Linked DNA regions of Arabidopsis thaliana. The protein of the gene in region 1 binds, or shares a complex with, the protein of each later gene. Each region holds a gene or a part of one and is shown in the gene's direction. Other genes may lie near its edges.

Evidence for each region.
Region 2: the proteins of TFL2 (region 1) and AT4G40030 are in contact, whole or in part, in a crystal structure (PDB 8XAG), measured with the Arabidopsis thaliana proteins. Residues at the interface, in NP_197271.1 of Arabidopsis thaliana: Lys102, Leu103, Asp104, Glu105, Gly106, Phe107, Tyr108, Ile110, Trp129, Trp132, Ala136, Thr138, Trp139, Glu140, Asn144, Leu145; in NP_001078517.1 of Arabidopsis thaliana: Ala26, Arg27, Lys28, Ser29, Ala30.

What each region holds. Positions count from the first base shown.
Region 1 is NC_003076.8:5,826,590-5,831,783, reverse strand, and holds TFL2 (uncharacterized protein), read left to right. Parts: upstream 1-2,023; 5' UTR 2,024-2,246; coding exon 2,247-2,606; intron 2,607-2,919; coding exon 2,920-2,945; intron 2,946-3,025; coding exon 3,026-3,133; intron 3,134-3,245; coding exon 3,246-4,001; intron 4,002-4,083; coding exon 4,084-4,144; coding exon of another isoform or gene 4,145-4,162; exon of another isoform or gene 4,163-4,232; coding exon 4,233-4,280; 3' UTR 4,281-4,613; downstream 4,614-5,194. Other genes in the region: AT5G17700 (MATE efflux family protein), read left to right, coding at 1-176, 281-399, 497-583, 664-759; AT5G17680 (disease resistance protein (TIR-NBS-LRR class)), read right to left, coding at 4,631-5,194.
Region 2 is NC_003075.7:18,555,089-18,559,052, reverse strand, and holds AT4G40030 (Histone superfamily protein), read left to right. Parts: upstream 1-2,148; 5' UTR 2,149-2,225; coding exon 2,226-2,309; exon of another isoform or gene 2,310-2,551; intron 2,552-2,635; coding exon 2,636-2,707; intron 2,708-2,789; coding exon 2,790-2,866; intron 2,867-2,951; coding exon 2,952-3,213; 3' UTR 3,214-3,435; downstream 3,436-3,964. Other genes in the region: AT4G40040 (Histone superfamily protein), read left to right, coding at 817-888, 976-1,052, 1,155-1,245, 1,344-1,514; AT4G40020 (Myosin heavy chain-related protein), read left to right, coding at 3,753-3,964. UniProt on the Arabidopsis thaliana protein: Variant histone H3 which replaces conventional H3 in a wide range of nucleosomes in active genes. Constitutes the predominant form of histone H3 in non-dividing cells and is incorporated into chromatin independently of DNA synthesis.

The sequences.
Region 1 (5,194 bases):
GGTGCTTGTGGTATCAGCGGTGATCGGTGTGATATGTTCCGCTCTTTGCCTAGCGTTTGGCGGTCAGATTTCGTATTTGTTCTCTGATAGCCAAGCAGTTTCGGATGCAGTAGCTGATCTCTCCATCGTCCTTAGCATATCTATACTCTTCAACATCATCCAGCCCATTCTATCTGGTTACAAAATAAAACCCTTATATTAGACATAAATAAATTATAACATAAACTTTTAGATTTCACTAATTTGTAACCACTAAATTTGTTTGAACATATATAAACAGGGGTAGCAATTGGAGCAGGGATGCAGAGTATGGTAGCATTAGTGAACTTAGCATCTTATTATGCAATTGGTGTTCCTTTAGGTGTCCTCCTTGTTTACGTTTTCAATTTTGGGATTAAGGTACATCATATATATGAAAACTGGTATCCAGTACTTCATTATGATCAATCATTAGAACTTTTAGAATTTTAACTTGAATAAATGATATTGTATGCAGGGACTCTGGTCCGGAATGTTGGCTGGAGTTGGTATCCAAACGTTGATATTGTGTTATGTTATTTACAAAACTGACTGGGAATTGGAGGTAATTTACTTTTAATATATAACTCAAAATTTTTATTAGAAAATTCGTCATATTAAATGTATAATTTTATCTAATTACAGGTTAAGAAGACAAACGAGCGTATGAAAACGTGGACTCTAAATTTACCTGCTGTACAATCGACTACTATCTCCACAAGAGATGAAGAGAGAAAGTGAACATACAACTAAGTTAATTTAAAGAAATCTTTTAAGAAATTCTTTATAAAAAAAGAAAGAATAATTTATGTTGTATTGTGGTTGTGTTTTGCATTCCCTAAGAATGAAGTATCGGTGTTGAGATTGCATTATTAGGTTAATGCAACTCTCATAACTTTGAAAAAGGTTAAGAAGGATGAACTTTTTCTTTTATCAGAGAAAAAGGTTGTTCTCTTGTTCTTCGGATATACTCTTTCTAAACAAAAAAAAAATTGTGGGAGGTTTGAAATTTTAACTTCTTTCTTGATTTTTTAATGGATGTATATTTTGTGTGTGGGGAAAAAAATTCCATTTGTTTGAGTGCTTGTAATCGTGAATTTTTACAAAAAAAATATTCTCATATATATTTCGAGGAAACGTTACAAACTTTCATAAGCTCACCATCAAATAAAATACTCATTTATTTATGTTGAAGTCAAAACGTTCCATTTTTCCCCCTATTTATGAACCGATCCTAATGAATGTTTTTTTTCTTCCTTTTTACTTCTTTCATATCACCATTTTAAATAATAATAGTAATTATTATTTTTCTAACGTTTAAACAAAAAAAGAACTGCAAATTTTATAGTAACAATTCAAATTTAACAAAGCGATCAAAACATGCATCATTTAGTGTACAAGTACTAATCACAAAGAAACAAGTTTTGGTTGGACAAAGTATAGAACAAACACACTAAACTGAAGAAAATAGAACTTTAGCCCACCAAAAGTTGAGGCTAAAACTCGAGCAGTAATCACATAGTTACTATCAAGATAACTATACTTTGGAATGAAAGAATCTGAATCTCGATGAAGTTTATCTTGGAGAAGGACTTTCTTTTCTGTTGGTTTGGATGAGATATTGCTGAAAATTATTGATGATGATGTTAGGAGATCCAACTAAGTTGTCTGCCTTTGCAGTGCACTTGGAGACTTGGAGTGAGAATCTTAGTTTATGAGACTTATTTTCTGATTTTTCAATCTCCTTTGATTTTTTTTTAAGTTGTAATAATGTCCTAGTTGATTTCCTTGTAAAAGGAGCAAGAGCACGATGTTCTTTTATTTCTAATTTAAAGAAAATGTTTTCAGTTTAATATATTTTTCGATTTAATTTACCTTCACATATTTTCTTCAGTAGTATTTATTATTTTCATATTAGTAATTAGAAATAATCTCTTCTAATTAGATTATAAACGTTAAGAATTTGCTGTATTCAACTTTTCCTATTGTGATATTAAAAAAAAAAAAAAAAAAGAGAATCCAAAAAAGTGAAAAAACTGGTCTTTGAGGTCAGGTCAGGTCTTCTTCCTGCAAAAACAAAAACCTCAGAAATAGAGAAAAAGTTTCAATCTTTCTTCATCTTCTTCCTCCAAAATCCTTGATTTCTAAAAAGGAGAAGAAGAGAAGAGAACGCGATTACCTTGATTCACCCTCCTCCTTCAGGTTTGGGAGGCTCGAATACTCAGGAAATGAAAGGGGCAAGTGGTGCTGTTAAGAAGAAACCCCAGGTGTTGAACGAAGCTGGTGAGGCGGAGACGGCGGTGGAAACAGTCGGAGAAAGCCGGAAAATTAGTGGAGACGGTGGGTTTGGCAGTGACGACGGCGGAGGGGGAGGTGGAGGTGGAAGTGGAGAGTCGATTCTTCGCGAGATTGGTGATGATAGGCCTACGGAGGATGGAGATGAAGAAGAAGAAGAGGACGAGGATGAAGATGATGGAGGTGATGAGGAAGATGAAGAAGGAGAAGGAGAAGGTGGGCAAGAGGAAAGGCCAAAGCTTGATGAAGGGTTTTATGAAATTGAAGCTATTCGTCGTAAGAGAGTTCGAAAAGTAAGCTCCTTTTTTCGTCTTCACTCAGCAAATGTGGTTTGTTTTTGTTAACCATAATTAGTTGAGGTTTTAGGTTTTCTAGGTTTAAGATAAGTATCAAACGTAGGTTACACATTGGTGTGAGAAAGTGGCTGCTTTAGTAGTTAGTAATCATCGTAACAGAGTAGTTTATAACGAACCAAAGTTTTGATTCTGTGGTTGTTATATGTTGTAGGAAGAAAATGATCTTTAATGTTTGATATCTTCTTGGATTTGATTGATTGAATGATTCTGATTCTGCATTTTGGTACTGTTTTTTTTTTTGTATTTGTAGGGCAAGGTTCAGTATCTAATTAAATGGTGAGTTTTTCTAATCTTACTTGGTTTCATTTTTAAGTTTGTTGTTCTTGATTAAACATATGTTTTTCCATTGACATAAGTTATAAACTCGGTTGTGAAAGGCGCGGATGGCCTGAAACTGCCAACACATGGGAGCCTTTAGAGAATCTCCAGTCTATTGCTGATGTTATAGATGCCTTTGAGGGAAGGTAAGTAAATGGAATCTTATATAAAAGTTTTGTGATACTTTTGAATTGATTGTTTCATGGATTTTCTTGGTTTAATGTATGGATTTGCTTTCTTGTTTCATATGTTTCAAAGTTTGAAGCCAGGAAAGCCTGGTAGGAAACGGAAGCGCAAATATGCAGGTCCTCATTCTCAGATGAAGAAGAAGCAACGTTTAACATCTACATCACATGATGCTACTGAGAAATCTGACTCTTCTACGTCTCTCAACAACTCTAGCCTTCCTGACATTCCTGATCCACTAGACCTAAGCGGTTCGAGTCTATTAAATAGAGATGTGGAAGCGAAGAATGCTTATGTATCCAACCAAGTTGAAGCCAACAGTGGGAGTGTTGGGATGGCCCGACAAGTTCGTTTGATTGACAATGAGAAAGAATATGATCCAACACTTAACGAGCTACGAGGACCAGTCAACAATAGTAACGGTGCAGGATGTTCTCAAGGAGGAGGCATTGGTTCTGAAGGTGATAATGTAAGACCCAATGGCCTTCTCAAGGTTTATCCTAAGGAGCTTGATAAGAACAGTCGTTTCATAGGTGCTAAGCGGAGGAAGTCTGGTTCTGTGAAAAGATTCAAACAAGATGGATCCACAAGTAACAACCACACAGCACCTACAGATCAGAATCTGACACCAGATTTGACTACATTAGACTCTTTTGGTAGGATTGCAAGGATGGGGAATGAATATCCTGGTGTGATGGAAAATTGTAATTTGTCTCAGAAAACCAAGATTGAGGAGTTGGACATCACGAAGATACTTAAACCAATGAGTTTTACAGCATCTGTATCAGACAATGTCCAGGAAGTGTTGGTGACCTTTTTAGCGCTGAGGTTTGTCTCTTTAGCTCTTTGGTCATTTCTCGTAATTTGATTTCATATTTGTACAATTGTACTTATTTGGTTACTCTCATAGGTCTGATGGGAAGGAAGCATTGGTGGACAACAGATTTCTCAAGGCTCACAATCCTCATCTCGTAAGATTATCTTTATAGCTTTTTTTTTCTGCACTTACTCATTTGGAAGTTTCTTATTAGCTTTTCTAATTTGTTTTTCCCACACCAGCTGATTGAATTCTATGAGCAACATCTCAAGTACAATCGAACGCCTTAAATCATCCGGAATGGTAAGAATTTGTTTGTACACAGCCCTTGTAGGTAGAAAAGATTAGATGGCTTCTTTATTCTAGCAGTGCAACATGTAGAGTCGAGGTAGCGACAATTGGATTTTGTATCGCGTCTCCGGGAGGTTTCAGATTGTAATTTATCTCCTCGGGTTCGTTGTGTTCACTCTCTATCTCTATCATAGTAAATCTTGTTACTTGGACCTTTGCTTCTTATAGCGGAAGTTTTCTTGTACTTGCTTCTTCAAAGATCAAGTTCATGATATGTTGATGTTATCAAAATATATGTGATCAATCAATATATAATAATTATGTTTACAAGCAAACCAAGTAATTTTTTTTACTTTCGTATGACATTTCGCTGATGTAATTTGGAATGACGCTCTCGAGCCAAAGGAACTGGAAGAAACTTGATCCTCTTGGGATTTAGTTGTTCCTTATGCAAGAACTCAGTTTCATATGCTCTTCTTTTCAAAATTCTTGCGTCATCAAATGCCTTTGGAAGATCCAAATCAGAACTCTGAATTTTGTCAGAGTCATTAGAGAACTCTTGCATCATGTCTTTGAGTGATATAAGGTGTACCGCACATTTTTTAACCTCTCCAAGCGGGCTAAAGGAATCTCCTTCTGTGTTTTCGACTGAGAATTCAAACAGGGCTTCGCTGTAAGCTTCCATGGACGTGCAGGTTCTGCTGAATAAGAGAAGGTGATCTGATCCAAAATACATGTTTGTGAAAGCTTTTGGATCAGGATACCACACCTCATCCATAACAACCAGCTCACAAGCATCAGCATCTTTTAATATACAAGAGCAGTGTATCTTCAGATTGTTCATCGGGTACTGTCCATCAACTCCAATCATGATGCAGGCAGAAAATCCCAGAATGTCAGACGATGATTCACT
Region 2 (3,964 bases), on another chromosome or scaffold:
ACCAATCGGATTTTGTATTCAATGGGCCTTATCTGTGAGCCCATTAATTGATGTGACGGCCTAAACTAAATCCGAACGGTTTATTTCAGCGATCCGCGACGGTTTGTATTCAGCCAATAGCAATCAATTATGTAGCAGTGGTGATCCTCGTCAAACCAGTAAAGCTAGATCTGGACCGTTGAATTGGTGCAAGAAAGCACATGTTGTGATATTTTTACCCGTACGATTAGAAAACTTGAGAAACACATTGATAATCGATAAAAACCGTCCGATCATATAAATCCGCTTTACCATCGTTGCCTATAAATTAATATCAATAGCCGTACACGCGTGAAGACTGACAATATTATCTTTTTCGAATTCGGAGCTCAAGTTTGAAATTCGGAGAAGCTAGAGAGTTTTCTGAGGTACGATTCTTCGATCCTCTTTGATTTTCCTGGAAATATTTTTTCGGTGATCGTGAAACTACTGGAATCGCTCGATAGGTGGTACGAAATTAGGCGAGATTAGTTTCTATTCTTGGCCATTATCTTGTTTCTTCGCCGAATGATCTTCCGGATAAAGATTTTAGGTTAGAGATGAATCGTATAGCTAGATTTCATCACCAGATAGTTTCTTTGTCTAGAATCTCTGAAATTCTCGATAGTTTTCACATGTGTAAATAGATTGTTCTTATTCGGCGATTGTTGATTAGGGTTTTGATTTTCTTGATTATGCGATTGCAATTAGGGATTTTCTTTGGTTTTGTGTTGATCTTACGATACATTCCGGCAATTGAATACGTATGGATCTAAATCTTGTTAATTTGTTGAACAGATGGCTCGTACTAAGCAAACAGCTCGTAAGTCTACTGGAGGAAAGGCTCCTAGGAAGCAGCTTGCTACAAAGGTAAGACTCGGGCTCTCACATGTGATCTGAGTAGCTTGATAAACACATTTCTAGATTTGTTCTAATTGGTGGATGTTTTAATTTAAGGCTGCACGTAAGTCTGCACCAACCACTGGAGGAGTCAAGAAGCCCCATCGTTACCGTCCAGGAACTGTTGCACTACGGTATGCAATCTGTTTCTTCCCCAAATTCAATTGTGTTTTTACTTTATTGATATCGTCATTGATTAAACTCTGTTTCTCTGTTTTATTGATCTTGATTGACAGTGAAATTCGTAAGTACCAGAAGAGTACCGAGTTGCTGATCAGGAAGCTCCCTTTCCAGAGGCTAGTTCGTGAGATTGCCCAGGATTTCAAGGTAATGTGTCTGTTCGTCTGATTCAGTCTACAAATGGATTTAACTTTTTACTTGTTTTGTCATAACCTTGTGTTCTTATCTTGTCTCTTTGATTGCAGACTGACTTGCGTTTCCAGAGCCATGCTGTGCTTGCACTCCAGGAGGCTGCTGAAGCATACCTTGTGGGTCTCTTTGAGGACACTAACCTCTGCGCCATCCATGCCAAGCGTGTGACCATAATGCCCAAAGACATTCAGCTCGCTCGCAGGATCAGAGGAGAACGTGCTTAATTGTGATTGGGAAGTAGTTGGATTATGTGAATGTGGGTGGTTTTCTAAATAGATAGTTGGAATTAGATAATGGCTTAAAAAGCTTTTGGGTGTAGGAGACTTGGAAACAATGGTGTTTTTTTTTTCTTTTCTTTCTGTTTCTTGTCTAGTCGGTTTATGATTTGCTTGTGTTCTTCTTAGCTACGTTTTGTGGTGTGTATTGCTTTCTTCTTTGGCAATGTTGAACACCTTTTGTTGTTGAATTCATCTCTGAAACATATGAATATGTTAAAGTTTCTGACTCTTGTTTCATCTGTATCTGTTCGATATTGTATGATTGAGTTTTATTGTTTATCAATAAGCTTTCTGTTTCAAAGTTCTTTTCAATATCAACAACTTTTACGTTCACGAAATTGGTAATCCGTGTGACACTTAAAATCTCTAATCGTGGCCGTTGGGCTGTGTTGAGAAAACACAATGTACAATAGTTTGAACCGTAGGATAAAGAATGTGAGAAAGCACAAAGGAGCGTATCGTGATAACCCTTTCGTGAGTATTATAAATAATAATTCAACTACATTGCGGCCACAACCACTACTTCAATCATCCCCTATTACTGCTTTTGTTACGAAAGACAAAAAAACAAAACAAAACAAAAGTCAGCTCAGGCGAAGAACAGGTATGATTTGTTTGTAATTAGATCAGGGGTTTAGGTCTTTCCATTACTTTTTAATGTTTTTTCTGTTACTGTCTCCGCGATCTGATTTTACGACAATAGAGTTTCGGGTTTTGTCCCATTCCAGTTTGAAAATAAAGGTCCGTCTTTTAAGTTTGCTGGATCGATAAACCTGTGAAGATTGAGTCTAGTCGATTTATTGGATGATCCATTCTTCATCGTTTTTTTCTTGCTTCGAAGTTCTGTATAACCAGATTTGTCTGTGTGCGATTGTCATTACCTAGCCGTGTATCGAGAACTAGGGTTTTCGAGTCAATTTTGCCCCTTTTGGTTATATCTGGTTCGATAACGATTCATCTGGATTAGGGTTTTAAGTGGTGACGTTTAGTATTCCAATTTCTTCAAAATTTAGTTATGGATAATGAAAATCCCCAATTGACTGTTCAATTTCTTGTTAAATGCGCAGATGGCTCGTACCAAGCAAACCGCTCGTAAGTCCACCGGAGGTAAAGCTCCAAGGAAGCAACTTGCTACTAAGGTTTTGTTCCTTCTTGTCTCTTTTTTCAAATAATACTTGTGTTGTGAAGTTGAATGTTAATCTCCTTCTTTATTAACCTCAGGCTGCTCGTAAATCTGCACCAACTACTGGTGGAGTCAAGAAACCACATCGTTACCGTCCTGGAACTGTTGCTCTCCGGTTTGTCCCTTCTTCGATTTGTATGTGATTCTTTGAGATTATGTAACATTGTGTGTTAACATTCCTCTTATCTTTTGGTGTTCAGTGAAATCCGTAAGTACCAGAAGAGTACTGAGTTGCTTATCAGGAAACTGCCATTTCAGAGGCTAGTCCGTGAGATTGCTCAAGATTTCAAGACTGATTTGCGTTTCCAGAGCCATGCTGTCTTAGCTCTCCAGGAAGCTGCAGAAGCATATCTTGTTGGTCTCTTTGAAGACACTAACCTTTGTGCCATTCATGCCAAGCGTGTGACCATAATGCCCAAAGACATTCAGCTCGCTCGTCGTATCAGAGGTGAACGCGCTTAAGCCAACCAAGAATCCGAGATTTGGTTCAAGTAGTTTTTGTTTTTTATGAAAGCAAGATCTTAATTGCTGTGTTTTTTAAATCTCTGGGTATGTAGTAGTAAGAGTAGTAAGAAGTCTGCAATCTAAGAATGTTGTGTTCTTTAAGCTTATTATTATGTGTGTTGCGAACTCTTTTTAACTCTTTTGTTAAATTCTTATGTTTTCTTAACTCGTTTGTTCGTCACCATTGCTTTCTCTTCAAATAATGGCTGATTTTTTTCTATAATTTTGGATTTGTTGAATGCTTTCTTTTAAAAGAATCAGATTTTGGACTTTTGACCAAAGAAAATAATAATATCAGACGATAAAATAGACGGCTCTCGATAAAACTAACCCTAAAAATAAGGAAATAAGTTCCTCTTTGAACCAAATTTTCTTTCTTTGACCAATAGATCTTTTTGTCAACCTCTTAAATATATTCTTAGTCAATCTTCTAATAAACCCATTGGCCATTACCAAAAATTCCTCGGAAACGCTGAATAAAAAACATTCTATCATCTATGGGAGAAGTCGATGAGAAACCGTCCATTGATGTAGCTTCTCCAAGGTATTCATCGAACAAAGTTGCGGATATTGGTACAGAGCTTTACAAAATGAAAGCTTCCCTTGAGAACAGAGAAAACGAAGTCGTTTCTTTAAAACAAGAGTTATTGAAGAAAGACATCTTCATCAAGAATCTTGAAGCTGCAGAGAAGAAACTGCTTGATTCGTT